Linked DNA regions of Saccharomyces cerevisiae S288C. Changing the gene in region 2 together with the main gene of any one other region gives a genetic interaction. Each region holds a gene or a part of one and is shown on either strand. Other genes may lie near its edges.

Evidence for each region.
Region 1: mutations in SFH5 (region 2) and BMT2 together harm fitness more than expected from each alone (negative genetic interaction), as found in Saccharomyces cerevisiae (2 studies listed by BioGRID).

The regions. Positions count from the first base shown.
Region 1 is NC_001134.8:515,501-532,277, forward strand, and holds BMT2 (25S rRNA (adenine2142-N1)-methyltransferase), read right to left. Parts: upstream 12,539-16,777; coding exon 11,525-12,538; downstream 1-11,524. Other genes in the region: ATG42 (carboxypeptidase C), read left to right, coding at 164-1,690; GTPase-activating protein IRA1, read right to left, coding at 1,850-11,128; MAK5 (ATP-dependent RNA helicase), read left to right, coding at 12,817-15,138; SUP45 (translation termination factor eRF1), read right to left, coding at 15,369-16,682. UniProt on the Saccharomyces cerevisiae protein: S-adenosyl-L-methionine-dependent methyltransferase that specifically methylates the N(1) position of adenine 2142 in 25S rRNA.
Region 2 is NC_001142.9:136,500-153,152, reverse strand, and holds SFH5 (Sfh5p), read right to left. Parts: upstream 7,994-16,653; coding exon 7,109-7,993; downstream 1-7,108. Other genes in the region: mannosyltransferase YUR1, read left to right, coding at 154-1,440; DNA-directed RNA polymerase II subunit RPB4, read right to left, coding at 1,527-2,192; serine/threonine protein kinase YAK1, read left to right, coding at 2,763-5,186; IRC9 (Irc9p), read left to right, coding at 4,942-5,334; protein transporter TIM17, read right to left, coding at 5,576-6,052; ROQ1 (Roq1p), read right to left, coding at 6,480-6,794; IDS2 (Ids2p), read right to left, coding at 8,452-9,861; SMT1 (Smt1p), read left to right, coding at 10,586-11,734; DNA-directed RNA polymerase I subunit RPA34, read right to left, coding at 12,015-12,716; SCF ubiquitin ligase complex subunit DAS1, read right to left, coding at 13,783-15,774; and 1 more. UniProt on the Saccharomyces cerevisiae protein: Non-classical phosphatidylinositol (PtdIns) transfer protein (PITP), which exhibits PtdIns-binding/transfer activity in the absence of detectable PtdCho-binding/transfer activity. Regulates PtdIns(4,5)P2 homeostasis at the plasma membrane.

The DNA.
Region 1 (16,777 bases), on a different chromosome or scaffold from region 2:
GAAATTTCCTAAAAATGGCCGAGGCGGCGCTAGCATTCTACGAAAGGTGAGATAACGCTTCGTTATCGAAAAATGTCAGGGGACAGGGGTTATATAAGAACGAAAATTGTCATCCTGCATTTTTTCTTTAAAACAGCTATACAAAAAGTGATACCGACATACAATGAAGTATCTAAACTTAGTTTTCGTGCTTCAGCTTCTTATTAGCATCAAATACGCCTCATTCGGCCGAGCCTTTTCTCTTTTTGAAGATGATACCACCTTTGCCAATTTGGATAAACAGCTAAAGCTTCCACAGAATACACAGCAAACCCTTAAATTGGACCGTTTGAATCACGATGATCCGCTGTTTACAACTTTTATTTCTTCTGTGGACACAGATTACAGTTTGAGACTTAGAACAGTAGATCCTTCTAAACTAGGAATTGACACCGTAAAACAATGGTCGGGTTACATGGACTATAAGGATTCCAAACACTTTTTTTACTGGTTTTTTGAAAGTAGGAACGATCCTGCTAACGACCCAATTATTCTTTGGTTAAATGGTGGACCTGGTTGTTCCTCGTTTACTGGGTTGCTATTTGAACTAGGCCCCTCATCAATTGGCGCCGATATGAAACCAATCCACAATCCCTATTCTTGGAATAATAACGCTTCAATGATCTTCTTAGAACAGCCACTCGGAGTCGGCTTTTCCTATGGTGATGAAAAAGTCTCCTCTACAAAATTAGCAGGCAAAGATGCGTACATTTTCCTGGAATTGTTTTTTGAAGCTTTTCCTCATTTACGCTCCAACGATTTCCACATTGCAGGCGAATCCTATGCAGGACATTATATCCCTCAAATTGCACATGAGATCGTTGTCAAGAACCCTGAAAGAACGTTCAATTTAACTTCAGTTATGATTGGTAATGGTATCACAGACCCTTTGATTCAAGCAGATTATTATGAACCAATGGCATGCGGGAAAGGGGGCTATCACCCTGTTCTCTCATCAGAAGAATGTGAGAAAATGAGTAAAGCTGCAGGTCGTTGTCGTAGGTTGAACAAGTTATGTTATGCTTCTAAATCAAGTTTACCATGCATAGTCGCCACTGCTTACTGTGACTCTGCACTTTTGGAACCGTACATTAACACAGGACTCAACGTCTATGACATTAGAGGGCCCTGTGAAGATAATAGTACTGATGGTATGTGTTATACAGGTCTCCGCTATGTCGACCAGTATATGAATTTTCCTGAAGTTCAAGAAACGCTAGGGTCCGACGTGCATAATTATTCTGGCTGTGATAATGACGTGTTCACCGGATTTTTGTTTACGGGCGATGGAAGTAAACCATTTCAACAATATATTGCTGAATTATTAAATCACAACATTCCGGTATTAATATATGCGGGTGATAAGGATTATATTTGTAATTGGCTGGGAAACCATGCTTGGTCCAATGAGTTGGAATGGATCAATAAACGTAGGTATCAGAGAAGGATGTTAAGACCATGGGTCAGTAAAGAAACAGGTGAAGAGTTGGGACAAGTCAAGAACTATGGCCCTTTCACCTTTTTGAGAATATACGATGCCGGTCATATGGTGCCCTATGATCAACCGGAGGCAAGTTTGGAAATGGTCAACAGTTGGATTTCCGGTAATCGTGCTTTTTCGGATCTTTCCACCTTGGAAAATGCTAGTTAGTAGTGCTCTAAAAATGTTTCACTCTTAACCTTGCAATCATTATACTTTACACAAATCTCTACGTTTCATTTAATTTAAAATCTACAATCCAACAAATATAAAACAAAATATAATTATAAGGAAAAACGTATATAATCACTGCAATACTCTAATTTAAAATTAGGAGCACGACATTCTTGCCAGTATCATTGTTGCTAATCTTTTTCTCTCATAAATTGCCACTTGATGTTCACCCTCTCCTTTTAACTTTTCTATATGTTCCTGATCAAAAATATCCAGAGGCTTCACAACTGACAAGCCTCTCTTTTTTAAAAGTTCGACCATTTCATCATTAAATTCCTCTAGGTAATTAAACTCACTGTGTGTAACAAGCATCCCAATCAATTCAAAAGAGACAGCAACCGCTTCAGATGATTGTTCTAGGGTTGATAACCTCCTGAATTCCTTTCTAGTCAGCGTATAGAACCTGAATACACAAATAGGGTTGACTTTGAGCAAATACCTCATCAATAGAGCAAAACGGAATTTACATGGTTCGTCTGACATAACACAGCTAAACAAAAGTGCTCCTTGGTATAAGACTATATTAGATTTATCTGAGTCTGAACTTAGCCAGTTGATCAAAGTAAGTGGCACTTTTAGTGTATTATTTAAAGGTACCAGTTCATCTTCGAAGCCGACTTCAAGTAACAAGGTAGAAAGTTGTTCAGGACTTAAGACCAAATGGAGTAAGAAAAGGTAACAAAGATAATCGGAGGATTTTGGGTTGGACTTTCTTTCGTAATATGTATTCTTGAAAAGGGCCTGTAGACAATCTAATGCGGCTCCTTTTACGACAGGAATGGATAAACCGTTTGCAATGAAACCTAAAATAATATGAGGAAAATTATCTTCGTTCCATATGCATCCATTGTATGACTCTAACTTAGCCAAAAGCGTAGCAGCAAAATTTCTAGATTCCATTAATTTTTTGGCTAGCGATTTGCCATCGAATCCAAGTTGAAGATGGACCGTGTACAGTCGCTTCAAACAATTTACCATGAACAGGAGACCACCTTCAAAGAGTAAAGGATGAGGGGATTCAACACATATTGTAGCAAGCCAAAATAGCTCTTTCATTAATTCTGAAGAAGGATCTAACCCTTCGACAATTTTGCTGTAAGTAAAGACATGAGCTATAATGATGAACATTTGTTCATCATCCACAACTGGCTCTGCGAAGACCTTCATGGTTTCAACTAAAAGTTCTTTACAAAGGAAAAGGGACGTGTGCGACTTACTCATTATACCTAGAATCATCATAGCTCTCGCAGAGAAGAACGACCGATGGCCAAAAATCGCATCCATCAAATATTTCTTATATTTTGCCTCCCATTGTGCACCCTCTGAAATAGAACCATATTCCATCAATAGCATAATGTTTTTAGTGAAGAGATCTAATGTTCCGAATTTACTGGAGAAGGAGGAAGCGGCAAAATTTGGTAAAACTCTACCTTTTTCTTGGCTAAAACCGGAGATAAAGTTCAACTTTTGACGTGCGAATGTTGCACAGACGATATCCAAATTTTTCCTATTCCTTTCAGGTAAGGACTCATTGTTGGTTAAAGAATGACAAACATTCATCAACAACTCGTACAATGAGACTCTTATTTCCGAAGGACCGACATCAATTAACAGAGACACAGCGAAAAGAATCTCCGGTAAATACATCTGGGAAAGTAAGGGTGATTCAAAGAAAATTGACACACTAATTTTTGATAAAATAGTAAGCTCAGACCAACTGTGTGCGGAAGCCTCAACTGCTAGAGAAGGTAGAAAAGATTTGATCATATTTATTAGCTTCTCTATTACCTGACAAGCAATCTCTGTCGTTGGAAAACTGGTTAGTATTGACACAGCTTTCATCCAGTCTCTGTTTTCTGAATCTCTATCCAGCGCATGACTTACTATTTCTTCAACTATCACGTTCGTGAGACGACCATCCAATGCCAGTAAAAACCAAATCTGTTGAAGGTAAGCTGTCGTGAAATTTGGCTCTTTGACCGTCAACCTGATTAAGCTATAGATTATACGTGAAATCGCCTCTGGTCCCTCTTCGTCATTTGCCAAATATACATGTTCATATAAGTTTGGTACCCAGTATGACAATGAACAGACAACCGTAGGAATATGTTCTTGAGGAATCACGTCGTTTTCAAGGCCATCCAGCATATATTTCCATATATATGGAGTTAGTTCCGTTGAAGATTCTGAAAAAGCCTTGAAAATTAGGGCCAAGAACGTGGTGGTATCATCGGGTACATATGTCTCTGGGGATTTGTGAAGCCTTGTCCCAAAATCTAAATTAAATGCTTCTTGCGTTGCCACGAGAAGGTTGTATGATATGTTTTTGACGAGATCATCCTCATTGAATAAACCTACAAGGATCACCAATGACAAATGTGATATAATTTCACCAACTTCTTTAACATTGCAGTAAGAAGCATTAACTGCTGAAGAGGATGTTGAAAATGAAATATCGTTCGAAAAATCCGTACCAAAGTCTTCTTCCATCTTTAACTGGGCATAATAAAACATTTTCACAATTTCTAGGTACTTCGGACTGCAAAATACCAACTTTTCTTCATTATCAAGACTTAACGTAAATTCCGAGGAAACGCCTGTGGTGTTAGAGACATCGACTGAAATTAAATTTGATATCTTGTAAACATTGTTGAATTTGATGCTGAATGTCCTGTTTGATACGGTAACCTTGTACAACTGCGGAATCTCATGTAAAACTTGGAAGTATTTGTTTCCTATCTTCAAGGACACGGGACAAAACTTCTTTTTTTCCTTGTCATAAAGGGTAATATCATGCAAAGTAACTCTTACATCTTTCAAAACTTCCAAACTCCTACCACTCAATCCTAAGGACTTTATCAAACTTTGGTCAGTATTGCTGTTGATGAAACAACGGGGAATTGTAGTGACCAAGTACGGATTTTCTACAGTATATGATGAGGCCCATTGGTCCATAAATGATTTGTTGACGTTGAAGTAATAACATCCCATACAATTACTTGATGCTTGCTCTGGTATCAAACTGAAAAATAGAGTAGTCAATTTTTGGAAATTAGCCTTACCCCCATAAAAGGTGGTACAATCGATAACTACATAATGTTTAGAGCACCACATTCTTGCATATATCTGCAGAACTTTATAGACCAGTGAGTCCATTACAAAATTATTGTACTCGCAATTGGTAAAAGTTACGACAATGATTTGTATGCCATCCAATGTCATTGCTTCATGTACAAATGGCGCATTATCCTCTTCTTCTTCTTTCATGTCCACTTTTTTGAAGGCATAGCGACTCATGAATTCATACAATGAAGGATATTTTTCCCGATTCTCGACTACAAAAGGAGGAATTTCATTTTTTATTTCCATGCTAGGTTGTCCCAATACACCAAGAATTTTGTCGTTGAGCATAACAGTATTTTTCAAAAAGCTGAACTCCCCTGGTAATTTGGATTCATTAATAATTTCTTTTCTTATGGTAAACTCATTGAGGTAAAAGAATTTATGCAAAAATGAGTAGTCAAAGCTTATTGGTGTCGGATCTTCTCTTACATTGACGGTGAAATTGTTAGTCGGTATCTTGCACAATTCAGACAAAAAATTGAATATTTTATCACTACAGGTTTTCAAAAACTCTTCTTTTGAAACTAAGATATCTTTCTTGAATATATTTTCCCTGCCATTAGCTAAACTTTGAATAACTTTAGCTAGTGTAATAAAGGGCTTTCTGTCATGGGCGTGCGTAACAATAATGATATTTTCCGAATCAGGACTAACTAAAGCAGGCCCGATAAACCTCAAGAAAACGAATGACCCAACGGCAATATATGCGTATTCTGGAAAATTTACACTAGCAGCATTGTAAATTGTTTTACAGATATCAACTAATTCTATTGGGAAATCATCAATAGAACTTGTAATTGCGTCAATTAATCTTGTCATGTACTTCTCAAATAAGTCTAACATCTTTTCGGAGTTTTCGGATCCTGGTTTCATCTTATCAATTTCAAAAGACTCCTTGTTATCCACTATCCCTTGCAAAACGGGTCTCAAAGTTTTTATCAAATATTTGTTACCTCTAGATCTAGTGTAAAGTGACAAAGCCCTTGTTGCACAACTATTTCTTCTGAGAATATCGTCTGATCTTGCGGCCCGTTTGATTTCTTGTTTAAGGAGCTCAGTAACAAGGATATGAGACGCATTTCTAGTGTCAAAGGCGTTTAAGAATCCACCAGCATATAAATCAACATCAGCAGGAGAACACGCTAAACTTCCGAAAAATGCTAATATTGGGTTCTTGATTATATATTTCAGGAAGTCGTCTATAGCTAGCATTTTATCCATTTCATGTTTCTCAGGGTTAACTGGATAGTTGGTTACTATGTCGATGAAAACTCTTAAAAAGGCGATTCTGATATCTTTATTTGGAGAATAACCCATTGGTAAAGTGAATTTTAAAGAAACGTTGACATTGGCATTAGATAAGTTCGTTAGCGCTATTATTACATTTTCATTAAGTATACTGATCTTATGCCTTAATGAAACTGGAAACTGATTCAGGTCCGCGCTTTTCTCCAGACCTTTTAACAAAATAGTAAAGTGATTGCCAAATGATACTGTAGAAGATCTGTTCCAATCTTCTTTTGAGCTTGAAGGCGGTATTTCTAAAGGAACATTATGTGTTAGGTAAGCCAATGCTTTTGCAGATTCAATAGAAGTGTCGATATACAAAAAATCTTCGTCCCTTTTCTGCAAATCCATTTCCCTTAATGGTCTTGACAGGTTTTCAAAATCATAATCCTTATTAATAGATAGTTTGAACCAACCAATAACTAACTTCAACCATTTATTCTTTAAATGGAAATGATTTGAAATGCCCAGGTTCTTTTCAGAGTGCTCAAATGCTCTAAACATTTTCGACATTTGGATAATTCCCTTATAATATTTGGAGGACTTGATGGAAATTTTCTCCACTATTTCGATCAACTTATCGACCGCATCAAGCAAGTCCGTCGAAAAGAGTAGCATTATCTTTTCATCATCATCCCTCTTTAGTATAGTTCTTATTATAATTATTATCTGCTCTAGTAAAACAAACGATGAATCCTCATGTGACTTTGAAAGATCAATTGACATCAGTTCATCTATTTTCAGTCCTAGGTTGTTAAACAATAAGTTAAAAGATAGAGGATGCAACTCAATACTTAATATATCTCTCGAATTTTCTCTTGTTAATAGATTTGGATTATTCAACCATTGACATTGTTTTGAAATAAAGAAATTCATTTTTTTCGTTAACTCGAGTTTAAGACTTTTGTGCACCTCATAAGCGGGATTTCGTGACTCAAATGATAAGCTGTCTCCTTCATTATCTGGAGCGCTCTTGCTTTTTTCCAACTCTTGCATATCAGACAGAATACCTGACATAGAAGCTAGAATGCCTGCCAAGCTTCTAAAATCTACTAGTTCCTCTTGCGTAACTGATTTCGAACAGCTGAAGTAAAACCACTTCTTGTAAATCACGTCCATTGAATCCAAAAGGATTGAGTCGGATCCTTTGATATAAGTTAAAATATTATTTCTTAGACGCCGTTGCAAAGCCACTGATCCTGAGGCAGTGAAATTGTCCTGGGCCATAGCATCTATGAAATCAATATTGTAAATGGAATATTGATCCAAAGCGCCTACGTATTTTTGATAAAATCTCAAGGATCGTAGAAATTCACAACATGAAATTTTTATTAAGCGTGGCGTATTTCCACGACTGCAGTATAATGAAATGAAAATTCCACTTCCTACAGCACCAACTAATAATGGCAGCGTCAACCTCTCCGTCGTAATTATTGCCTGGACTAGGTTGTGTTTTTCTGCTAAATTTGATAAATAAGAACGGACTCGTTGAAATTTAACAATAATGTCTAGTAGCATCTCTCTCTTCGCATTTTCTAACTTCAAATCAAACAATGATGAAGCAAACAAAGTAACGGCATATGTACATAACAAATAATGGTCATTCAGTACTCTTGGGTCAAGATCATTATCAATGTCTTCAAAAGTAGCTATATAACTTAATGGGATTTCAATAAAAGCCCGCGCTGTAACTTGTAGTCTTTGATTAGAATCCAATATAGAGACAAAAAGTGGTTTTATAATATCCGTAAAAGTCTTCGGGAATTCTGTATTAGCATCTGGGCGTATAAACCAGTTGGTCATTCTTTTGAAAATGCTGAAAATGTTCATCATAATCTTTCTTGCTTCATCATTGTCACTCAGTATTACTCTTGAATAAGAAGGCTGTTTCAATTGTTTATCATCAGCAATTTTTTTTGTTTTGTTTGGTTTTGGAGATTTGATGTTTTTCAAAATAGTTGGGGTTGCCGTAATCGAATGATTAGAAGAAAATCCTGCACTTGACGAGAGGACTGAGAGCGGAGAAGGCAAGTCACTTTGTTGCAATTGCGGCGGAGAAGAATATGGACTTTGTCGTGATCTTTCAGAGTCGTTCGGTGAAGCGTATCTCTTAGTAGTAGGAACCCCAGATAATCTATGGGCTAACAAGTTTGCATTATTATTTTGTTGTGCCTCCAACGGATTAGTCAAAATGTTAGACAAGCTCAAATCAGAAGCACTTGATCTGTTCGATAAGGTTGGTAAGATTGATTGAATATCCCAGGTGCGCGTATTGGTGATATTGCTTCCTGAGTTAATTGATAAGGGTGATTGGGAAAGTGAAGAGACTAACGAGGCATCCGATGAGTTATGAATAATTTCGGTTGGCTCAGTGTAAACGCTTGTGGCAGCATCAAAACTGACATGATCATCATTAGAAAGTGTTCGCGCAGCGTCAAATTGATCTAAAATATGCCCATCCAATATAGAAGCAATAATCTTGGTTACATTATCGTCAAAATAAGGCGTTGCTTTCAACAAAATATCAGCAATTATGCAGAAAAGTCTCTTTAACACAGAGGAGGTTTTTTCTGCAATATCCTCATGAAGTTTTTTGGTGCTTACTAGGTGAAAAAATACCCTAAATCCTTCAGTGTATAACGATATTTTGGGAAGGTCTATGTGATTGAGTTCTTTTTCCAGTTGTAAATGTCTTAAAAATAAATCAGAATCCAGCTGTAAACCGCTTGCAAAAAACTCTAATTGTAAACGCCTATGTGTAAGGGGATTCCTTTCAACACAATGAGAAATAAAAGTATTTGCAGTGGCAGAATTCCAATTGGTGCCGACCTCTAAATTTTGACCCAACAAGTTGTAGAATCTCTTCGAAAAAATAACAGAAGCAATATTTGAATCGATTTGGGATATAGAAGACGTCATTGTCATTAAGAATAGAATGGACCTGATAGAGTCAATCAAGGAAACATCTGAAACGAACTGTCCCCCATTCAAATTTCTAATCAAATATGTCAAAAATTTAACGTTACGTTTCCTGCCTTGCTGTAAAGTAAGTTTTTTTAAGCCATGGGTGAGGTGCCTGATACTTGGGTTTTTGGATGCTGAGCCCCAACTTGAAGTATTAGAGTCCTTCGGATTAATATTCATTATCGGTTCCGAAATTTTTCTATACGAATTTGAGTTCATCTCATCATATACTTCACTGTCTAATAAGGTCAGAACCACCAAAAACCTTAATATGGCAGTATGGGAGGATAGTTCTGATCCGGTATAGTTGGAATACAGCTCCATAATATTTTCCATATAGTTTAAAGAAGACTGATCGTTCTGAGACTGAGAATTATTAACTCCTGCATGCATATTTGTATTTGTCATCGATGCATTAGAATGCTGAGAAGTATCCCAAAGAAACAAGGAGTTACTATCATCTAGATTGAGTGATTTTCTACTCGAGTTAAAGGATGAAATGTCATCTAAGGAAAATATGCGTTGTGGAATATTATTAAGATTAGCGCTGTTGTTATTGTTATTATTGTTGTTAGTATTCATAGTAGAGGGCGTATCTGCATCTGTTTTGGTAGTTGCAGCCGTAGTCGATGTGGAAGTATTCGCCTGTCCTAGTGTTGAAGTGATTGGAGATAACGGATACCCTAGGATGTTCGTGTTTAAGGGTGAACTCAATGATGCCATAGGGGAAGTAGGCGATGCATCATTCCCAGTAGAAAACTGAGACGGAGAAACATTGCCAGAAGCATTCACACTCGACTGCTTTATCGACGTTTTTGATATAGAGTTTGGACTATTAGTGTTGGTCGTCTTTGATGAAGAAGATGAATGATGAAGATGGTAGTGGTGGTCATTATTGACATTTGTTAATAATGATGATACACTAAAAGTGGAATAAACGTCATCGAATAACAGTGAGACTAGTTGGGATATAGACGTTTTATCAGAATTATTCGAACCACCATTATCAGATGAAGAAGACGGACTATTATAATCTGATGATATTAGATTGTTATAAATTTTGACGTATTCTTTTGGCCTTGCCATTATCCAAAATAAAAAAGCTTTGGAAGCATAATATAACAAAAGCGAATGAAAAATGGTCCTCTTCATGTAACTTGACAGGTGTTGTAGTATGTCCAGATATGCTAGCAGATTCTTATCAGTCAAATACTCACAACCAAATAAATCCAAGTGGTTTACTACGCCCAATTCGGTTGAGGTGTGTGATATCAATAAAGGTGCAACAACTTTTGTTTTGACACACTTTGTGAATTCAACATGATTGGAAGCAGATATGAATCTCTGGATATAATCTATTGTTAAATCTATTTTCTCGGTATATGCTGGATAGTTTCTCTTTTGTAAAAATTCCTGTGAATCGGGTAAAATACTCGATTTTGAGATAGTAGCGCTGCCAGAAAGATGGTGAGACATGTTCTGTAAAACCTTTAAAGTTCTTGTATTGAACTTCAGCTTAGAAATTTTACATAGTAACATCGTCGCCAAAGCTGGATTGATTCTCGTGTGCTTTGGCCTAGATGTATGGAAGTTTGGCCTGTGACTTGAAAATCCCGGTTTGTAATTATCGTTTCTAATTTTCTTGAAGTCATTGTTTTGATCCCAGTAATACTCAAAAACATCACTCAGTAATCTCAAAAGAACCAATATAGAATGGGCAATATCATCTGTAATATTGTCAGACGTAATTTCTTCATCTTGCACAATCAAGTCAATTAAACCTAATGTGTTTTCGATAATCGGGTTCAAGTCCTTAGTGATGGCTATATTCAAAATGATGGACCGACACGAATTGAAAACTGAATCTGCCTCCACATCAGCATATGTTTTCAAATTAGATTCTATGGGAAGAACAAGTAGAAGCCTATCAAAAAAAAGATGCTTGGTCAAAGAGTATTCCATTGGGAAATTTTTTTTGTCTTGCGGATCGCTTTGATTCATTTTAGAAAGAGCCTTAATCTTGTTGTATGTTATATGCTGAAGAAGAATGTTAAGTTTGAAGCTCTATTTGCAGGGCAAAAGATGATCACTTGACTTTATACGCTTTCGTTAAATAGCTTAACCACGCGCTGAAAACTACTATGAGCCCAATGCCAATAAAATGATCAAAGGCGTAAATGAAACCGGTACTGTGTAATAAGCGGAAAAAAAAAAAACAGTTAATTGTTTCAATCGTAATACAAAGCGAAAACCTTTAGTATATTAGTTTTATATGAGCAGTAACTCTTGTTATTCTCCTTCGAACACTGTTCATTTGCTCATCTTTTACTTAACGTTTTTACACATCTTTCTATATTGTATCCCTTTATGAAAAACTTCCAGGCGGTGTCGGCTCGCTTAGAGGGTAATACCAAAATTGTTCAACCCAGGGCCGTCGTTAACCTTGATTCTTTTGGAAAAGCTACTCGGCTGCGGTGGAACTACCTGCAATTGATACAAACAATAGTACAACTTATTACTTTGATGGCTATTAAGCATTATGAGCCCGATAGAGCCGAGGAGGTTTTGTAACAGTGTTTTGTCGCAGTATCTTGAGTGCGTCACACAGGCTTGTGGCAGAACAATAAAGATGTAGCCTTGCGGCTTGAGAAATTTGACCATGCGATGGCACATTGCACCGCGATCCCTGTGATTTTTGACAAAATTTAGCACTAGAGAGCATGATATCAGGTCGAATTTGTCGTTTTCATTTCTCGGTAGCGGTCTTTCCATAAAATCCTGCTTAATAACGCCTTCATGTTCCTCTAAATCTATACGAACCACATTTCTAAAAAGTGCACAACGGGATATGCGATTTCCGGAGCTCAATGAACCAATTTCTAATGCCACTGCTCCAGGACAATTTTCAAATGAGGACCTGATCCATTTCTCGAGCAACTTGGACGTGTCTCCTCCTCGTTCCTTCAATTGCCCGTTTTGACTGGCAATTTGGTAAGTTTCTAGTCCTCCCAATTTATTAATCTGATTCATTATGTAACCAAGTAATGTGTACATCACAGCCAAGTCAGAAGTATCCTTTGATTTGGATTCATTTTTAATTAATGAGTGCAGCCTCAGTAGTTGTGATTCCATAGCATCATTGAAGGACTGCGATTTGCCGTCTTCATAGTACTTGCCCAGTCTTACATTACCTTTAATACTTAACCTGATAATTTTGTCATTCTTCTCCTCGTTGGAATCATCTAGGTTTTCCTTAAGGCATAAAAACTTGCATATCGATTGACGCTTATTAATTAAATGGTGGAATCTTCTTATTATCCTTCTTGTCTTCTGTGGCTTGATTACTCTCGTCACGTTACTTCCTACTTGCTTCCTCTTGCCCGTAATACTCTTCGACTTTCTTGAATGCATTCCGCTGTATTAGTGGTATCGCTAAGCTGATACAAGATTGCCATCAAGGTCATGGCTAGCTCATCGATATTATAATTGTTATATTTTTTTTCACCTCACAAACCCGCCTCAAGGTTAGTTAGTCCGTACTTTTCTTTTTCTCTGAAAAACTTTTCCAGCGATGAGCTTATAAGAATTTCCATCTAAAAAAGTTATATTCGCCAACCTGCCCATCATTATCATCATAACCTCAGGTAGAAATTCTTTAGTCAAATACCGGCATAATCAGTTTTTCCATCATGGGTAAGAAAAGGGCTCCTCAAAAAGGAAAAACGGTCACAAAGCCACAGGAGATAATTGTAGATGAATCCAAATTGAACTGGAAACCAGTAGATATTCCGGACACTTTAGATGACTTTGGTGGATTTTATGGCTTGGAAGAAATTGACGGAGTGGACGTTAAAGTCGTGGATGGTAAAGTAACTTTCGTCACCAAAAAAGATTCAAAAGTGTTAAAAGATAGCAATAAGGAAAAAGTCGGAGATGATCAGGAATCTGTGGAAAATGAATCAGGGTCAGATTCGGAGTCCGAGCTCCTTGAATTCAAGAACTTGGACGATATTAAAGAAGGAGAGTTGAGTGCAGCATCTTATTCATCATCCGACGAGGATGAGCAAGGTAATATTGAGAGTTCAAAGTTAACCGATCCCAGTGAGGATGTGGATGAGGATGTGGATGAGGATGTTTTGAAAGAAAACGTCTTTAACAAAGACATTAATATCGATGATATTTCTCCTGTAAATTTACCTGAATGGACGAATCTTGCACCTCTCTCAATGACTATTTTGCAGAGCTTGCAGAATTTAAATTTTCTCAGACCTACAGAAATTCAAAAAAAGTCTATTCCAGTTATTATGCAAGGCGTAGACGTCATGGGGAAAGCCTCTACAGGTTCAGGTAAAACTTTAGCCTATGGTATTCCAATTGTAGAGAAACTGATCAGTAACTTCTCTCAGAAAAACAAGAAACCAATATCGTTAATCTTTACTCCTACAAGAGAACTGGCGCATCAAGTCACAGACCACTTAAAAAAGATCTGTGAGCCTGTTCTAGCGAAATCTCAGTACTCGATATTATCTTTGACAGGTGGACTCTCTATCCAAAAACAACAACGTCTATTAAAGTACGATAATAGTGGCCAAATTGTCATCGCAACACCAGGTAGATTTTTGGAACTGTTGGAAAAAGACAACACTTTAATCAAAAGATTCTCGAAAGTAAATACGCTAATCCTTGATGAGGCTGATAGGCTGTTACAAGACGGTCATTTCGACGAGTTCGAAAAAATCATTAAACATTTATTAGTAGAAAGAAGGAAAAACAGAGAAAACTCCGAGGGCAGTAGCAAAATTTGGCAAACTTTGATCTTTTCTGCAACATTCTCCATCGACTTGTTTGATAAGCTATCTTCTTCCCGTCAAGTTAAGGATAGAAGGTTTAAAAACAACGAAGATGAGCTAAATGCCGTAATACAACACTTAATGAGCAAAATTCACTTCAACTCAAAGCCGGTTATAATAGATACAAATCCTGAGTCAAAAGTGAGCTCTCAAATCAAAGAATCCTTAATTGAATGTCCTCCATTAGAACGTGACCTATACTGCTATTACTTTTTAACCATGTTCCCAGGTACAACTTTGATCTTTTGTAATGCCATTGACTCCGTGAAGAAATTGACCGTATACTTAAATAACCTAGGCATCCCAGCTTTTCAAATTCATTCTTCCATGACACAAAAGAACCGTTTGAAAAGCTTAGAAAGGTTCAAGCAACAAAGCGCTAAACAGAAAACAATAAATCATTCGAATCCGGATTCCGTTCAACTCTCAACAGTATTGATTGCAAGTGATGTTGCTGCTAGAGGTTTAGATATTCCGGGTGTTCAACACGTTATTCATTACCACTTACCAAGATCTACTGATATTTATATTCATAGATCAGGCAGAACTGCAAGAGCAGGTTCTGAAGGTGTCTCTGCCATGATATGCTCACCTCAAGAATCTATGGGCCCATTAAGAAAGTTAAGAAAAACTCTCGCTACAAAAAATAGTGTTTCGACGGATTTGAACTCTAGATCAACTAACAGAAAACCCATCAAGTGGCAAAACACTGTGCCTTTGTTACCAATTGAAACCGATATACTTTCACAACTCAGAGAAAGAAGTAGATTAGCAGGCGAACTGGCTGATCATGAAATTGCTTCTAATTCCCTAAGAAAAGATGACAATTGGTTAAAAAAGGCTGCTGATGAATTAGGTATTGACGTTGATTCCGACGAAGACGATATATCAAAGAGTAATTCGGACACTTTCTTACTAAAAAATAAAAATAAAAAAATGCAGAAGACTATAAATAAGGACAAGGTAAAAGCCATGAGAGCTACGTTGAACGAATTGTTATCAGTGCCTATACGTAAAGATAGAAGACAGAAATATTTGACAGGTGGGCTAGTGAATTTAGCTGATAACTTGGTCAAAAAAAGAGGTCATAATTCTATCATTGGTCATGAAAAGACAAACGCCTTAGAAACTTTGAAGAAAAAGAAAAAGAGAAATAATTAATCTCGAGGCTTTTGAAGAGAAACTCTCCTTTCACTGTATTTTCTACGTAATATACACGGTCCTCTAAACCCACTATGTACTTTCAACAAAGGAATTAGCTCAATATAGAGCAAAAGGTTTACCAAGTATATATTATATTGTACAAAAAATTAAAAGCGAATTTAATTTAAATCTGGCATCTAGTGATTAAATTCTTTTTGATTCGATTTTTTTCTCCCCCTTTTATTTATTTAAATGAAATCATAGTCGGATCCTTCATCTTCGTCATAATATTCATCCTCAGATTCATCAACTAGTTGTTCAAAATTAACTTTGTAACGCAGCATGGCACCAATACCACCAAAACCTGTGACAAATTGGGCACCTTCTGAAGATTTGTCTGTGATGAATTCCAAGGTAGCACCGAAGTTTTTGTAGTTAGCTGCTAGCCATTCAATTAAAGGTTCTTCGGAGACAACGTCCATTTCTTGGCCGGTAGCTTTGTCAATAGCAAACGACTTGTCCTTGGCTTCTGGTTCAGCGAATTTTATAACCTCATTATCCTCGGCATCTTTAAATGTATATCTGATAGTTTCCAAATTTTCGAAAACAATTAATTTTTCGACTGCACCTAAATCCAATGCCTTTAAAGTATCATCTATACCATAACAGAATTTACCAGTGTCCTGGGAAATTTCGTCAAAATATGCCTCCAATAATTTCTTTTCTTGAACATACTTGACATTGGCCAACGCTTCGGCAGAAAGTTCGATAGCCTGGTTGAAACCGTTTTCACCACCATAAGAAACATCCACGATGGAAATAACCTTACATGCTAGTCTTGGATCGAATAATTCAGATTTAGCCAAATCGGTCTTAAAGTCAGCAGAACCAGCTAAAATTAAACCCTTAACATTGACTTTGTCATTAGTAATAAAATTTTGAACAGCAACTTCGGCGACCTTTCTCACATAATTATGTCTTTTTTCTTCTCTTAAACGAGCAAAACGAAGCGCAGATTGACCACCTCTACCATGCTTTTTTGGCAGATCGACAGTAAATTTATGTAAAACAGTTCTCGTATTACCGGACACAGAACCAAACAAAGTACCTTGACCGTCCATGACTATAAAACCGAACTTGTCGTCAGCTTGAAGCAATTCCGAAAGAACTTCTGTATGAAATTTGTTATCACACAAATATAAGGATGTGTTGATAGGTTTGTAAGGTTCGATGTCAAAAGTGACCTTTTTTTCTTTACCATCTTCAGTGATGATATCACCACAATATAAAACTAAACCGTTCTTGGGCAAAGTATTATATAGCTTCAACTTTTGTTGGGTGGAAGTGATAGCAGATAAAACGGAAAGACGATTAACCCTAGATTTAATATTCGAGGCAGTACCATATTCATCTGTTAACATTTTTTGGTACAGTGGAATTTGACCCTTAGGAGGAATAACTAAGGAAATCATAGAAGTACCATTACCTCTAGCTTTTTCTAAAGATTGGACCAACTTCTTGACCTTCCAGATCTCAATATTTTTTTCAACCTCGTTATCCATTATTGAAGTATTTCCTTTGTCTATTTCTGTAGTCTTAATAAGGAGACAAGCCGAAATGAATTAAGAAATAAAGGTGTCGTTAAGGCCACACCAAC
Region 2 (16,653 bases):
TTTTTAATAAAGGAAAGTTAAAGACAAAGTACTACGCCTCTTTATTTTTCATCTGCAGAAATAATCTGTCACTGCTTATTCATATCATCTCCAAATCTAATGCTTGGAAGTCGCTATCAAAATTAAAGAAGTTTATCATCAGAAATTGTTAAAATGGCAAAAGGAGGCTCGCTATACATCGTTGGCATATTCTTACCAATATGGACCTTTATGATCTATATTTTTGGCAAAGAGTTATTCCTCATACGAAAATACCAAAAGATTGACAGTACGTATACTGCTCTTTCCCAAAGAGTAAAAGAACAATATGATACAAGTCGAAGAAGAAACTATTTTCCTAAAGTAAAACTTTCCCGCAATAGCTACGACGACTACACTTTAAATTATACCAGACAGAATGATTCTGATTCTTTTCACCTACGAGAAAATGCAACAATTTTAATGCTGGTGAGAAATTCAGAATTAGAAGGGGCATTGGATTCAATGAGATCATTAGAGGACAGATTTAACAACAAGTATCATTATGATTGGACTTTTCTAAATGACGTTCCTTTCGATCAAGACTTCATTGAAGCTACAACATCAATGGCGAGTGGGAAGACCCAATATGCTTTAATACCACCAGAAGATTGGAATCGGCCGCAATGGATTAACGATACACTTTTTGAAGAAAGACTTCGAGTCATGGAGGATGAGGGTGTTTTATATGGGGGATCCAAGTCATATAGAAATATGTGTCGGTTTAATTCTGGTTTTTTTTTCCGGCAGTCAATACTGGACAACTATGATTACTACTTTAGGGTGGAACCCAATGTCAAGTATTATTGCGATTTCCCATATGACCCGTTCAGAGTTATGAGATTGAAGGGCAAAAAATACGGATTTGTCATATCATTATATGAATATGAAGAAACCATACCAACCTTATGGGACGCGGTAGAGGAGTATTTAGTGGCCAGCGAAGAGACCATTTTACGTAAAGAGGACAGTGCCTATGCATTTTTGACCGATTCAGGGCTAGTTGGTAAGCATTATCCCGTTGTTGAAGCAAACTCTGACTACAATTTGTGCCATTTTTGGTCGAATTTTGAGATTGGCGACTTGAATTTCTTCAGAAGTGACGAATATAAGCATTTTTTTGAAACTTTAGATGCCAAGGGCGGATTTTACTACGAAAGGTGGGGTGACGCACCTGTACATTCAATTGGTGTCTCCCTACTGCTGAGACCTGACGAAATCATTCATTTTGACGAACTTGGCTATTTTCACTCACCGTTTGGCACCTGTCCAGCATCTTACGCTGTTAGGCTCGATCAGAGGTGTAGATGCAAAAGCGATGATGAAAGTGTCATAGATATAACCCCACATAGTTGTTTGATGAGATGGTGGAAAAACGGTAGCGGCAAATATTTCTTAAAAGAAGAGCAAGACGAGATTTAAAATCCTGTCCTTTTTCCTGTTAAATAGGCCTAACTTCCACAGGGTGAAAATTCATTACTAGTTACACACACGTATACATACAGTTATTAATAGAGTGTTTCTAGGTTTGACAATTCCTTTAGTATCCTTTCCAACTCATCGTCTGATATTTTATTGTTTAAGCTTGGAATTAAAGTCTTTGCTTCATCAGCTGTGTCACAGGCCAAAGAACCTAGTTGCGCCACTTCAAAAGGATGTAACCCAGTGCTTTTCAGAAGCTGTATAACTGCCCCGACGGTTTCTTGGTCTCTAAATCGGGAGAAATTTGTTAAATACTGCATGGTATTTTTCAAATCTTTATTATTTCCTCCCGTTGTCTGTTCTAACAGAACGTCGATAGACTCCAACTCCTTCTCCCTAGTTTCAGAATGCATAAAATCATCATCATCAGCGTTGACGTCATCTTCATCCAGATCATCATCTTCATCCTCTACTGCCGTAGTTTCATCATTGGCGTTTTCGTGCTTCAAATGCTTCTTCTTGTGTTTTTTTTGCGATCTTTTAAATGCTCTCCTACGTTCTACAAGAGCTTCTTTGATTACTAACCTGGCTTCACTTAGGTTCAAGGCAATCAATTCCTCCTCTTCACCCTGATGATTTATCTGTTTCAGCTGGAATTCCTGGCCCAGTTGTAGAGTAGCTGCATTTTCTTCTTCCTCCACTTTCTTCAATCTTCTCCGTCTTGTTTGAAAGGTTGATGTAGAAACATTCATTTTTCTATATTCTTATATATATATTTTCAATACGGATGAATATTTGTGTACTTTCGCCCTCAAACTCAACTTATTAAGATGCAGCAACCCATTCAAGTCTCTTTCTTTACTTTTGTCTCACCGTTAAGCATGTACGTATGTGTGTAGGTATGTTTAATAGCTACCTTGCAAAAAGTTTGAAGAATGACAATATCACTATTGTCGCGTTGCACGTAAATGACACCTAAAAAGGATTTAGGATTTGGAGAAAAAAACTAAAAAAAATATAAAAGGCCTAATAAAAATATCAAAATAGCGCGATGGCTTTATTAACCCTAACCGCCCCTTCTGAACCATTGCAAGCAATGCCCCCTCCTCAGATTTACCCCTTCTGGGCTGAACAATGAATGAGTCGCAATGCTAAACAGATATAAGGAAACAATTGGTGGGCCATTACTGGGGGTATTACACAAATTTCTCACTATTAGATTTGGGAATATATCGAAAGAAGAATTTTGGTGAAGAGCAACAGCCATTGTGCAAGGGAACATAATTTCGTTATCTTTTTTTCACATGCTAATTTGAGCAATCATGAACTCATCCAATAATAACGACTCGTCCAGCTCCAATAGCAACATGAATAACTCCTTGAGCCCGACCCTTGTGACCCACAGTGATGCTAGTATGGGCTCGGGTAGAGCAAGCCCAGACAATAGCCATATGGGGAGAGGTATATGGAATCCATCGTACGTAAATCAAGGCTCTCAAAGGTCTCCACAGCAGCAGCATCAGAATCATCACCAGCAGCAGCAGCAGCAGCAACAACAACAACAACAGAATTCTCAATTTTGCTTTGTTAACCCTTGGAATGAGGAAAAAGTAACTAATTCTCAACAAAACCTGGTGTATCCCCCTCAATACGATGACTTAAACAGTAACGAAAGTCTAGATGCGTACAGACGACGTAAATCTAGTCTCGTTGTACCTCCAGCCAGGGCACCTGCCCCAAATCCTTTCCAGTACGATAGTTATCCCGCTTACACCAGCTCTAATACGAGTTTGGCAGGAAATAGCAGTGGCCAGTATCCTTCTGGCTATCAACAACAACAACAGCAAGTATACCAGCAGGGCGCTATCCATCCTTCCCAATTTGGATCCAGATTTGTTCCCTCCCTTTATGATCGTCAAGATTTCCAAAGAAGGCAGAGTCTGGCTGCAACTAATTATTCGTCCAATTTTTCTTCCCTAAATTCAAATACTAATCAAGGAACAAACTCCATACCAGTCATGTCACCTTACAGGAGGCTTAGCGCATATCCTCCTAGTACAAGTCCCCCACTACAACCCCCTTTCAAGCAGTTACGAAGAGATGAAGTACAAGGTCAGAAATTGTCCATTCCTCAGATGCAACTTTGCAACTCTAAAAACGATCTTCAACCTGTCTTAAATGCTACTCCAAAGTTTAGACGTGCGTCGCTCAATTCCAAGACGATATCTCCCCTAGTCAGTGTCACGAAAAGCCTGATTACCACATATTCTTTATGTTCTCCAGAATTTACCTACCAAACGTCCAAAAACCCCAAGAGAGTACTTACGAAGCCCAGTGAAGGGAAATGTAACAACGGATTCGACAACATAAACAGTGACTATATTCTTTATGTAAATGACGTTTTGGGTGTAGAGCAGAACAGAAAGTACCTTGTGCTAGACATTTTGGGTCAAGGTACATTTGGTCAAGTGGTCAAATGTCAAAATTTGCTGACGAAAGAGATATTGGCTGTAAAAGTGGTTAAATCGAGGACAGAATATTTGACTCAAAGTATAACGGAGGCTAAAATTTTAGAGCTACTGAATCAAAAGATAGACCCTACTAATAAACATCATTTTTTAAGGATGTATGACTCCTTTGTCCACAAGAACCACTTATGTTTAGTGTTTGAATTACTAAGCAATAATTTGTACGAATTATTAAAACAAAACAAATTTCATGGGCTCTCTATACAACTTATCAGAACATTCACCACTCAAATACTGGATTCGTTATGCGTTTTGAAGGAAAGCAAACTGATTCATTGCGATCTGAAGCCAGAGAATATCTTGCTCTGCGCACCTGATAAGCCGGAATTGAAAATTATTGATTTTGGCTCATCTTGCGAAGAGGCAAGAACCGTTTATACATACATCCAGTCCAGGTTTTATCGTGCTCCTGAAATTATACTGGGTATACCGTATTCAACCAGTATTGACATGTGGTCGTTAGGTTGTATTGTTGCTGAATTATTTTTGGGTATACCGATCTTCCCAGGCGCTTCTGAATATAACCAATTAACAAGAATAATAGACACGCTTGGATATCCTCCATCGTGGATGATAGATATGGGTAAAAACTCTGGAAAATTTATGAAGAAATTGGCACCAGAAGAAAGTTCTTCTTCTACACAAAAGCATCGTATGAAAACTATTGAAGAGTTTTGCAGAGAATACAATATAGTGGAAAAGCCCAGTAAACAATATTTTAAGTGGAGAAAGTTACCAGATATTATTAGAAACTACAGGTATCCTAAAAGCATACAGAACTCCCAAGAACTTATCGACCAAGAAATGCAGAATAGGGAGTGTTTGATCCACTTTTTAGGCGGTGTGCTAAATTTGAACCCGTTAGAAAGATGGACACCACAACAAGCTATGCTACACCCCTTCATAACAAAGCAGGAGTTTACAGGTGAGTGGTTTCCTCCAGGATCGTCTTTACCGGGTCCTTCAGAAAAACATGACGATGCAAAAGGCCAGCAAAGTGAATATGGAAGTGCGAACGACTCTAGTAACAATGCAGGCCACAACTATGTCTATAATCCTAGCTCTGCCACTGGTGGTGCTGATAGCGTCGACATTGGTGCTATCAGTAAAAGGAAGGAGAATACATCTGGCGACATCTCCAATAATTTTGCTGTTACTCATTCTGTTCAAGAAGGGCCAACAAGCGCGTTCAATAAACTTCACATTGTCGAAGAATAAATCGTTATTTTGTCTGACTTTTCTTAACTACCCATTTCATTTTATTACGGCTTGGTGCCATAATGATATACTAAATAAATATGAATTTTGCCTTTTCTTAATTTTCCTTATACGTATAGTCATTACAATTAATAAAGTAACATTATAAAGTTTCTGCACTAGCTTTTGGCTTGTTGATATTTTCTCTTCAGAGATGAAGTATGGTACTTTTTCAATATATAATATGTACATGGTTGAGAGAAATGGTTGGTAATCTTGAAATAAAAGGCTGAAATAAAGTAAAAACGTAAAGGAGGCTAGTGCGATACGTCATTTATGTAACAAAAAACATGCCGAATAAGGGTACTTCCAACAACGATGAAAAAATGGCTCATATAATGTCTACATGCCTAAGCTTGCAGAGGTTGAGAGGAAGGTGCTTCGGGCAAAGGAGGAGCCATAGGTTTGGCTTGCCAAGCAGCATATCTTTGAAACATTAGTCCCACACCTTCAATCACACCCAACAAACAAGCACACGTGATCGAACTGTTCCTTGTATGCCTCCAACCACCTCTTACAGCTAAAGCGCCACCAGTGAAAAACCCTGCAATGATAGCATTCCATGGGTCCTCTCTCTTTCTAACGGCCTTCACAGCGCAATCAAAAGTCGAAAATAAACCACCCCACACACCAAAATTACCACCCAGTACGGGAGCACGCGCTTTAATGGCGCTCATAGCTCCTGAACCACGCTCACCTAATGGCGAATTTCTAAAACCTTTAATCCCATGCCAAACAACACCACCAATGGCACCCATGGCAAAAGCACCACCGAAATCATTTAGTATGACTATAGGACATGGATCTCTCGAATGATCGGCTGACATAACGCTCCCGTGTACTCTATTTTTCTTAACGCTTTCTTCTGAACTTGACTCTTTCACAGCTTTTCCATCTTTTGATGAGAATAGTGCTTTTATCCTCTGGATTTGGCATAAAAATGGAAACTTTGGCGCAAGAATGCCGGGTTACCCACTTTGTTGAACAATAGCAGTAAAAAAGGCGTCCGATGAATGTTCGTTGTATACACCCGAAGATTTCTGTATTCAATGATATATATACATATCTATATGAATATACTATACACTTTATGCACAGAAATTAATGATTTGATAAAGTCCCGCTATCCTTCCGTGGCGCCACTGACAGTGGCATGTTATGAAATGCATATAATCGTTACAACCCCGAACCCGTGCGTGGGCTATTCAGTATAACCCGAATGGTATTGTTAGATATGCTTTATAATGCTGGAGTTCATGAACAACGGCGAGAGTGAACGTCTCCACCCAGACTGCTGCCGTGGCCGTATCGACTGCCGTTTTCATCGTCACCATGATTATTGTTGTTGTTATTATTACTGCTTGTGTTTTCCTGTATGCCTAAATTAGTCAGCTCTACAAAGTAGTATATCACGCCAGGCTGTGTAGGCTGGTTATTGATCCCGAAATCGCCCATGGGAGACTCCTCTACCAAGGAATCCACTCTAGTCTGGTCCCGCTGGCTCCTGAGTATACTACTGTTGCTTTTTTTGTGTGTCCTGTATATTGTTGAAGTTTCCCTCCTTAACATCTTCTTCTTGTTATCTTATCTCTTGTTTTTGCTGACTTTTTTCCCTTGTAAATACCTTTATCTGCGATCTTGTTCACCTTCGGTGCGTTGTCTTTTATATAGGCGGATCTGATCGATCTGTATCCCTATTATTGCCATTACCTTCTAGAAACATTTTCGCAGCCCCTTCGTTTCGTACGGTGTTTTCTGAGCCATATAAGTGAAGATACGTGAGAGATAATACAGTTAGATGGTGATTTACCTGAATATAAGGCAAAAATAAGAAATTATTATAGGGTTTATATAAGAGACTATTATTAGATCATGCCAACAAATCACTCAACGTCCTCGATGATTTGTTTTTGTAAAATGTAAAGGCCGTATTCTGTTGGATGGACATTTGTGACATTTTGCTTGGTCAGATTGTTCTTCTTATCTTTCCCGCCATACCCTTCATATGGGCAATCCTTCAAGTATTGACCCAACTTGCTGCCGTCGGTTAATACCACGAACTTCTTTCTGGTGGTTTCGTCAACGAACTTTTTGATTAAATCGTAAACCCAGCCGAAAACGGTGGGGACATTAACAAAATACTTTGCATATAACAGTTCTGGATAGTATTTTTGAAAGATTCCAATGACCGTCTTGCTACAGTTTTTAATGTCAGAATCCATTCGCCACACGGAGACGCCTTTATAATCGTGGACTTGGGTCATATAGTTGTTGTCGGAGCTGGTGAAATCTAATAAGCTCAAACCCTTTTCCATGAGCCCGATTCTGTAGCGTACAAACTTATCCACATTTTGAAACAATTCTTTTTTTTTGACCAGTTGGCCGTATAAGTTCCAAGTGACAGCCTTTTTATTTGCGTCGCCGTTTGCATCGAATGTCAAAATACCAACGTTTTGCAATTCTGTATTATGGACTTCCTTGTAGGCACAACTCAATGGGTTGAATTCCCTCCTCCAATTCAAAATATCGATCAGGTTCTGTACAATGGTGCTATATTCAAATTGATAGGCTTTGCAAAGTTTGTAGGTTAGACGATCGGCGATTTTTTCGTCATAGTATTTATCAACCTCCTCTTGTGTAAGACCTTCAGGATTCAACTTGTAACCATACAATTCATCGTATCCTGCACATTTTTCCTTGATAATACCAGGAATCGCTTTTTTAAGCTTATCGAAAACCTGCTTCTCACTGTCATTGTCGAATTTCATTTTAAGGATGTTAATTTAGTGAATTAATTACGATTGGGATTCTAAGTAGGAAAAAAAAAAGAGGTACAATTGCAATGTACAGCTCGTTTTTCTTGGTGCGATCACTAATTAGTAAAGCGATGGACATAGTTTTTTTTTTTCATTCCGCCCAATTCTAGCCACACCCGAGAATGTAGAAGTGCTAAAATAACCTTGAACTTTCAGATATAGTGATGATAAAGGAAACCAAAAAAAAAGGAATTAAAAAGAAGGATAATGACTATGTGGTAGTATACAAAAGGAAGTGATTACAAATACGGTGTACCGGCATGTTTCAGCAAAAAAAAATATAATTTTTTGTTATTATAACTGCATTTTAATGAAACACATTATAAGTATGATGGGATTAACTATGAAGAGGGTACCGGACCGCCTTTAATGAATATTGAAGAATTGCGGAAAAGCAGTACTATTCTTATTTAGTTTGCTTGGTTCAAAAAGTCTCGCCAAAGATCTAGCCACTTGTTCATAATAGATTCTCGATGTTGACCGGCAGCAATGTAGTTTTGTCTTTCCCAAGGTTTCAGGATTTTAAATTCGATTATCTTATAATTCAATCTATTCGCTGGCACGCTAGCTATGGGAACAGCACAGTATCCAACGCTATCTATATAACTCCATTTATCGCCAAACAATGCTTTCATAATCTGTAAATCGTTCATTTGATGAAACATCGACCTTTTACTTTCACCTTCAAAATCGTTCCCGTAAATAGTAAAGTATTCCTTAATGCACATTGCTACTGCCCTGTTCGGCTTCAGTATAATAATTTGAGGATCGTCATCATAATTTTCAGCGGAAGATTGGTCTTGGTTCACGCTAACGAGATCTTCATTTATATAATTTACCTTATTCGATAACAATACACAAGTTTCGTTATCAATCTCGTCAGATACTTCAGTGCTCTCTAGAAGCTCATCAATATTTTGCAGTACCAGGCATGTAGGGGATAAATAGCAAATCAATTCGAATCGATCAATTAACGAAAAAAAAAGAAATAGCTTGCACCACTTAAAATTCAATTCGCCCTTGGTTTCGGTCGATTGCGAACTTGCGCTAAATCCCGAGCCAGTGCCGAAATTCATGAATAAATTGATATATTCATCTATTATCAGCGTCTTGATTCCTACCTGGGCCAATTGAAAGGCGTTGACTTCACTGGAATGCAATACCCAGAGATTATACTGAGAATTGACATTCTTCAATGACTCGGCCAATACGATGACAGCCTGTAAAGATTCTGCCGATGAATCGTGCAGTATTGTTATCCAAGCCCTGCTCTGATTAAGAAAATCCCCAGGAGAGTTGGTTGGTTCATTGGAAGATGCGCCGGAAAACGAACTTCTTGGGTTCAGTAAATGTCTTATCCACTGAACGTCCTGTATAGAACTACGCCTTGTAGTTAAAGGTGGAACATCCACCGATGGTTGCCTTATTGGTGATGCCCTTTCGCTTGGTTCCGGAGATCCTAGAGTCAAATCGTTAAGGATATCTGAAACAGACTCTCTCGTCTCCTGTCCCAAAGAATAATGATGTTTGAACAGCTGATAATCCTGCTGCTGTTGATCAGATTTTTCGCGTGTTTGAGAAGATCCATAAAGCCTTTGCTGCTGCTGTGTCGACCCTCTCGCAAGTGATGAAAGATTCATTGCATTTCCTTCCATCATCGTTGCTGGTTCAGGGGAGTACCTATCAGTGGGAGTACCTATGGGAGAATTATTAAAATTTAACAGTAATGGATTATCTTGTGACTCGGACCATGACTTTCTCACAGCAGCGGCCAGATCACCGGTGATATCTTCAGATATACTTTCCTGCTGATTATCCATTTTTATTATCAATCGTTTTTTCTTTCTTGCCCTTTTGATAAATAAATAAAATATATTTGAAAAAGATTGATATCAAGAATCCAGATATCTTTGCGTGGTAAAGCGGTGATTCGTGTTGCAATTTCCACCTCTTTTCTTCTCTGCCAATTTTGAACTCGACTGCACAATTCGATTGCTTCAATCATGCTTGTGTTTCTGTCCTGCAGCGCATGGGGAAATTTCCGAAGCAAAGATGGGAACAGTCAAGAGCAAGAGCAACAGCAAAAGTAATAAAAGACAGTAAAAAGCACAATATACTGCTATCGGCCGTACATAGTAAGTTAGATTAGTGAAAGAGAGGCAGCAAAAACTGCTGATAAGTTTTTGCACCGAAATGTGCCGCTAACTGCTTCTTGTTTTGCTGCAAGTTGAGAACCCGTAGTGTCATAGCATATAAATAATCTTGTAAACGTATACTTACATAAAGACATGAGTAGAGAGCGTAATGACACCAACATTTTTCCCCTCAATGAAAGTGTCGAAAATGATGGTCCGATATCAACAGTCATACAATAATGTGACAGCGGTTTTCTGTTTGTGCGAAAAGAAAACAGTAGAATATAAATTGCGTTTCAATATAGATTTACGAACCCTAAACAACAACACGCATAAGTAATTGTGCTGGCTAAAGGGAAATAGTGCGTGCGCTGCCTTTTGTCAATTTTATCTACAGGAATCATTGATTATGAGGAGGACTTTTTCTCAGTTAGCAACCCGACTATTGAAGTCGAAAGATGATGAGCTGAAATCAACTCTAAAATACTTGACCAAAGGTCCAGTGAAGTTGTTGGGGCCTTTGTTTGAATCTTCTGAAGTTAATGAACAAGGTTCCTTATTGAATCGTTCACGCACTAAAGAAAATAATCTTCAAAATCACCATATAGAGAACATCCTGAGAATACTGAATTCAAATCTACCGGAAGTAGAGTCCAAGAAACAAAAAGTAGCTGTTCATTACGATGTGCTTTTCTCACATTTGAACTCAATAGTTACCCAGGCAACGGATAACAAAAGTTCTTCTTCGAAGGAACTACAAGGTTCATCGTCCGAGGATCTATATGATAGGCTGCTGCTTTTGCAGTATGTGGGCAAGTTAACTAATGTGCGTCAAATAACAGAAATTTTGCTCTCAAAAAAGTTCAACAAATTCGATAAAGTATGGGAGCACAGAGCCTTGTTTGACGAATACCAAAGAGTAGTGATATCCATCCTGTTGTATTATAGAACGCACGATGTGCAAATAAGAAAAGACTACGAGCCTCGTTGGTTGTCCGATTACAGTGATCTACCGTTTCCTCTGCGACGTCTTTTGTGGAGATGTCTAACTTCTAACGTATCTGAAGATAATATTCGTCAAAATATAATTCATTACATTAAGCTTTTAGGCGCAAATTGGAGGAATAACGATTTGATTTTAATTTATCAATCTTTGTATGAAAAGTCACATATATTGCCTGATTTAACGGTCCTGAACCACAATAAAGATGATGGTTTCTCTTTCACCCAAAATCAAATCCTGCTTGTTCGTATTTTAAGGGCTATTTCGAAATGCGTTGAAGAGGAACCAAAATTGGTCAAAAAATGGTTAATTGATATCGTAAAATTGAGTATACAAAGCAAAATAATGCTGGAGTCACCGAAGAAACCGTCCACACCAATAATGGACCAATACAAATTTATTAGATCCTTAGATATTTCTATACGGAGTATCCATCGGACGTGCCAGGATAAACTAATCTTTGAAGATTTACAGGTCAACCTTGGAAGTGTATTAAAGATGATTAATGAAGAAGAACACGAGTTAAAAACACACTTACCATTGAACCTCATATAAGAGAGAACACAGAAAAAGCAGGTTAATAATATTCATATGGCGACTCTAAATCAAGAAAAAAATAATCGTTTGTGTTACACCCGAAATATTGAAATTTCTAATCGTATACACAAATTTAAGTATGCAAAACTAAATAGTAATATTGCCCACACAAAACATTCATCAGTTTCCACCAGCAGAAATGCCTTTTTATATATGTAAATGCGAAAAAAAATCACTGACACACACACAAATGCACATTTTTATCTTATGTTACACACAGTTATACGCACATACGCATTCAATCTCTATGTTTCTTTTTCTTATCCTTTTTATCCTTCTTCTCCCTCTTCTCCCTCTTCTCCTTCTTCTTTTTCTTCTTTTCACTAGACTCCTCTTCATCGTCGTGATGTGAACGCTTCTTTGGTTCTTTCTTATTTTCTTTAACTTCCTCAGCCACATGGAAATCTTCGGCATCATAACCAGTAGCAAAATGCTCCAACTTCAAGCCTTCTACTTTTGGAACATCTTTACGTGGAACTCTTACCTTACTGTAATCAATAGCTGGGATTTTAGCGGTTTCGCTGACAGAAAATACCTTGTCAAACTGTAATGGTGCATTATCCTTGGCAGTGCTAGCAATTTTAAGACTTTCCTTACTTTCCGAAGGAACCAATAAAGTCATATTACTGAGGTTATCCTGTGTTAACGAGGACTCAATATCTGTATCGTCCATGATTTTATAATCGTGTTTATCAATTGTCATGGTTGTAGAGGATTCAAAATCTACAGGCAGAGATTTTAACTTGGAGATGTCCACATTTGATGGGAATTTGATCAGCCAAACCTGTTGCTGTTTCGCTTTTTTTTTGTTATCACCGTTGAGAGGGAAATTCTTTAAATGTTTACATTTCTTGAAACCATCTGGTATGCTGAACTCGTTTGATATCACTTCATCATCAGAGTCTGAATCTGATACGTAATCTTTCGAAAGCTTGGACATATCAATTTTTTGTTAATCCCGTTTATTGAATCCTAGCTGCTCACTGCTCACTCGATCACAGACCTATATGATACCGAATACCCTATAACTTGAGCTATTCAATGCTCATCGATAAAATTTTTCATTTCTTTAATTTCATGTTTGAGAAAAAAAGTTTCGCAACACCCAATAACCACACGCTGCCCTAAGAAAAAACTTTCTCAGGCTGAAAAGAAAATTTTTTTTCATTTTCTAGAGCTTTATGGGCAGAAACAAAATGTATAAATACTGGACAACCTTCTGTAAGGTTATAATAATCTCGACATTCGGTTAATAAGAATTCCCCTACATAAGAACAAACAGCAGTGACTGTAATGTAGTAAGAATGAGAGTAATCCTCCTCTTTCGACTTCAGCATTGCACTCCTTCCCATTTGATACATTCAAGTTTGAATAATCTCAAGAGAAATTTCATGACACTTTTTTAAACAGAAAAGAAGAATTGATTGGCCCTGATGATAATGGTGTCTCTTCTTTCCTCGTCCGATTCGACCATGACGACAAGGGATTTTATCTCGTTCTCTTAATGCGAATGATTTTGAAAAGATGTTGCTTCTGTGACATTTTTTTTTAATCATTTGTGTTTGCAAACGGGAACTTTTCTTGCCAGTGTTATACAACACATGCAGATCTGAGCCTTTATTTTTTCTCATGAGATTATCAAATGTGGGTAATTTGAGGAGACAGATAATATATATAATTTATGATCACGGTGATGAAAGACTGGTTCCTTAACATTCGCAGTTTCCACGGTAGGAGTACGCTTACGAACCCATCGTTAGTACTCTCGGTGACCGCTCTTCTTTAGAGACCTTCCTAGGATGTCTGAGTGATCGTATACTGTAGTATCTTGTGTTTACTTTATCAAACCAGCTTACCAACATTGGAATAGTTGGTTGATTTTTTTCTAGCATCCGAATGGATCTTGTATTTCCTTAATATGAAGTAGACCAGTAATCTGAATCCTGCTAGCTTAAAAAATGCGTTGAATATATATTATTAAATATATATATTTGAAGGGGAGTTGATTACATAACAGTGGCTATTCTTGCAATGGTATCAGAATTATTATTGTTGTTGTTGCTGTCGTTCTCCAGATTCTTGTTCGATTCCTTTGACCATCCATACAGATTACTCTTATAATCATAATGATAAAAGACGGGTTCAAAAATACGTTCATTATTCTCCTCCATAACTATTGTGGGAATGTCATTCAACATCAAGAATCTCAAATGAGGAAAACTTTTCAAAAAAGTAACGTAAATCGACTTGAAGTGATGGATAAGAGCGTGATAACACATAATAATATCTCTTTTGGTCAATGATTCATGAGGAAGTTCCAGGTCAGTGGAAATTGTAGCTGCTGTGTCATCACTACTTGGAGGAATGGCCGCATTAATTTCATCATCATCATCATCGTCATCGATTATTATCATTTCGGGCTCGCTCATATGAGCGGTTGATGTGGAAGTCACGGTGGAGTGTTGATGTGGGTTATTAACGATTTTGGGCACCAACTGGGATTTAGAATTTCTATATTCCAAAAGGTTGCGGTTCATCTTGGTCACAAAATTAGTCAAATTCATTGGTTGTGTTCTAACGCTCGGATAAGCATCACAAGCTTTAGAGTATGGTAACAAAGATAGGTATTTCATCATTTTAAAAATATCCTTTGCAGCAATGTCTTGAAGATCGTGAATATAGTAGTCTTCAGGGAACATGAATATTTTGCCCTTCAGAATGTCACTGAATACTATTTGACAGTTTGTGCAGTTGCATTGCTGATTTAGTTGGAACTTATTTTCTTGAATATTGATGATTTGTGGGATAAGACCGTCGTATCTCAGATCTATGAATTGCAATTTGGAGCAAGCTAAAAGAATGGAGAGAAATATGTGAGGATTTGTGGGTTCAGGTACATACTCCTCTAAGAAATCCATTTTTAGTCTTTTCAAATTGGTTAACGAACTAAAAAGATCTACGAGGATATGAACATCCTGCTTAATAGAAATCAAAGACAAATCTTCCAGGTTCTCAAATTCTTTAAAATCTTTCAGCATTTCTGTCTCGCGTTTTAACAAAGTGTCATTCCAAGAAATGATGGTAAGAATTTTCAATGTCCTCTTGTCAAAAACCTCCGATAGTTTAGTCAGAGGATTGCCGGGTCGTATCTTTTTAACAAAATAATCATTATTGTAAAACTCCCTCCTCCAATGCAATTTTAAATCGATGATTTGTAACTTGATATCTAAAGGGTAAAGATAATTGAACAGTTTTAAAGGGTCGATGAATAAAGTCATATGAGAAAGCCGAGAAGAGATACGCTGTGAAAGATATTTGGTGAGATTCGGAATGTAATTTTCGGGAACAACCATCTCAGGCAATGAATTTGGAGGAGCCATGTCGAAACTTGAGACGTTGCTCCTGGAAAAGTGACCATTGGAGATGATATCGTTACAAGCCGGGTCAGTGACGTTTTCTAGTCTTTGCAAGGACTTGCCCTGATTGCAAAGGATGCTGAGAATGGACCTTTGCAAGGTAGAGTCCAAATCCCAGTTGATCCTTATCCACTGGATGACTTCAGTAATGTGAATATTATTTTGCAGTGTTTCTATAAGTTTTTTCAATTTGCAGTTGGCGATATCGCGGGACTCCTCTTCTTTCAACGAAGACGGCAAGTTCAGTAGGGTCCAATTAATTGCGAGATGCATGAAGTCACTCTTCACTACATTTGAGTCGTTCAAATATATTCTTCTATAAAGCAGTTTGGTAGCGATCTTATTCAACCTTTTGTTCACAAGGCAAAGCTGCAAGCGGTCTGGTTGCGGCAAATGAGAGAATACTTCTTGCATGAGCTCATCGGGGAGCTTTGTTAGCGGGAACACGTAGTTTTTGCTCTTGGCGGCGAAATTTATGTTAATATCGTTAATATCTCGTAGCGCTGAAGCATCTGCGTTACTTTTATTGTTTCTGTTAATGAACGCTGCTTTTTTCTTCTGAAAATAATCTTGAAATGGCATGATATGAATATAAGCTGAGTTGTAAACACTGTGTATAGACGTCCTGGATATTTTGCACGGAAATCAGATCTCCATCGAAATCTACAATTCGCTTATAATCTATATATATTCCTCTTTGTGTGGGACGATAAAGTAGGGTAATACTTGCAATGAGAAAGAATACTCTGGTGAACAGGTGCATTTTGAGAGGGAAATAGGAACTAAGAAAAACAAGTAGAGGAAAAGGGGTGTAGTGCAGTGCAGTAAAGCGTTGCATTGATCGTATCTTGATAGATATACCGGTATATTACTGAACGTTTACATTCACCCTACAACATTTATAAATCTTATATATTATACATGCAAACTCGTATTTGTGAAGTGGGCATATAGTTTTTCGCTATGTATATAGCGGATGAGTGCGTTGGGATTACTATTTCTTTAATGCACGTGATGAAGGCTCGTTTTCTTTTTTTTTTTTTTTTTTTCTTTTTGGGAACGGGGGAAAAGGTCTCACTAGTATATAAAGGAAAGAGAGTACAGCACGAATGAGCCAGCTGCAGGAAAGGGGCTAGGTTAAAAAATAAAAACCCAGCAGAAAGCAAACAACCAAATATAATTTAGAAATGGACAGAGACCATATTAATGACCATGACCATCGAATGAGCTATTCCATCAACAAGGACGACTTGTTGTTAATGGTTTTGGCGGTTTTCATTCCCCCAGTGGCCGTCTGGAAGCGTAAGGGTATGTTCAACAGGGATACACTATTGAACTTACTTCTCTTCCTACTGTTATTCTTCCCAGCAATCATTCACGCTTGCTACGTTGTATATGAAACGAGTAGTGAACGTTCGTACGATCTTTCACGCAGACATGCGACTGCGCCCGCCGTAGACC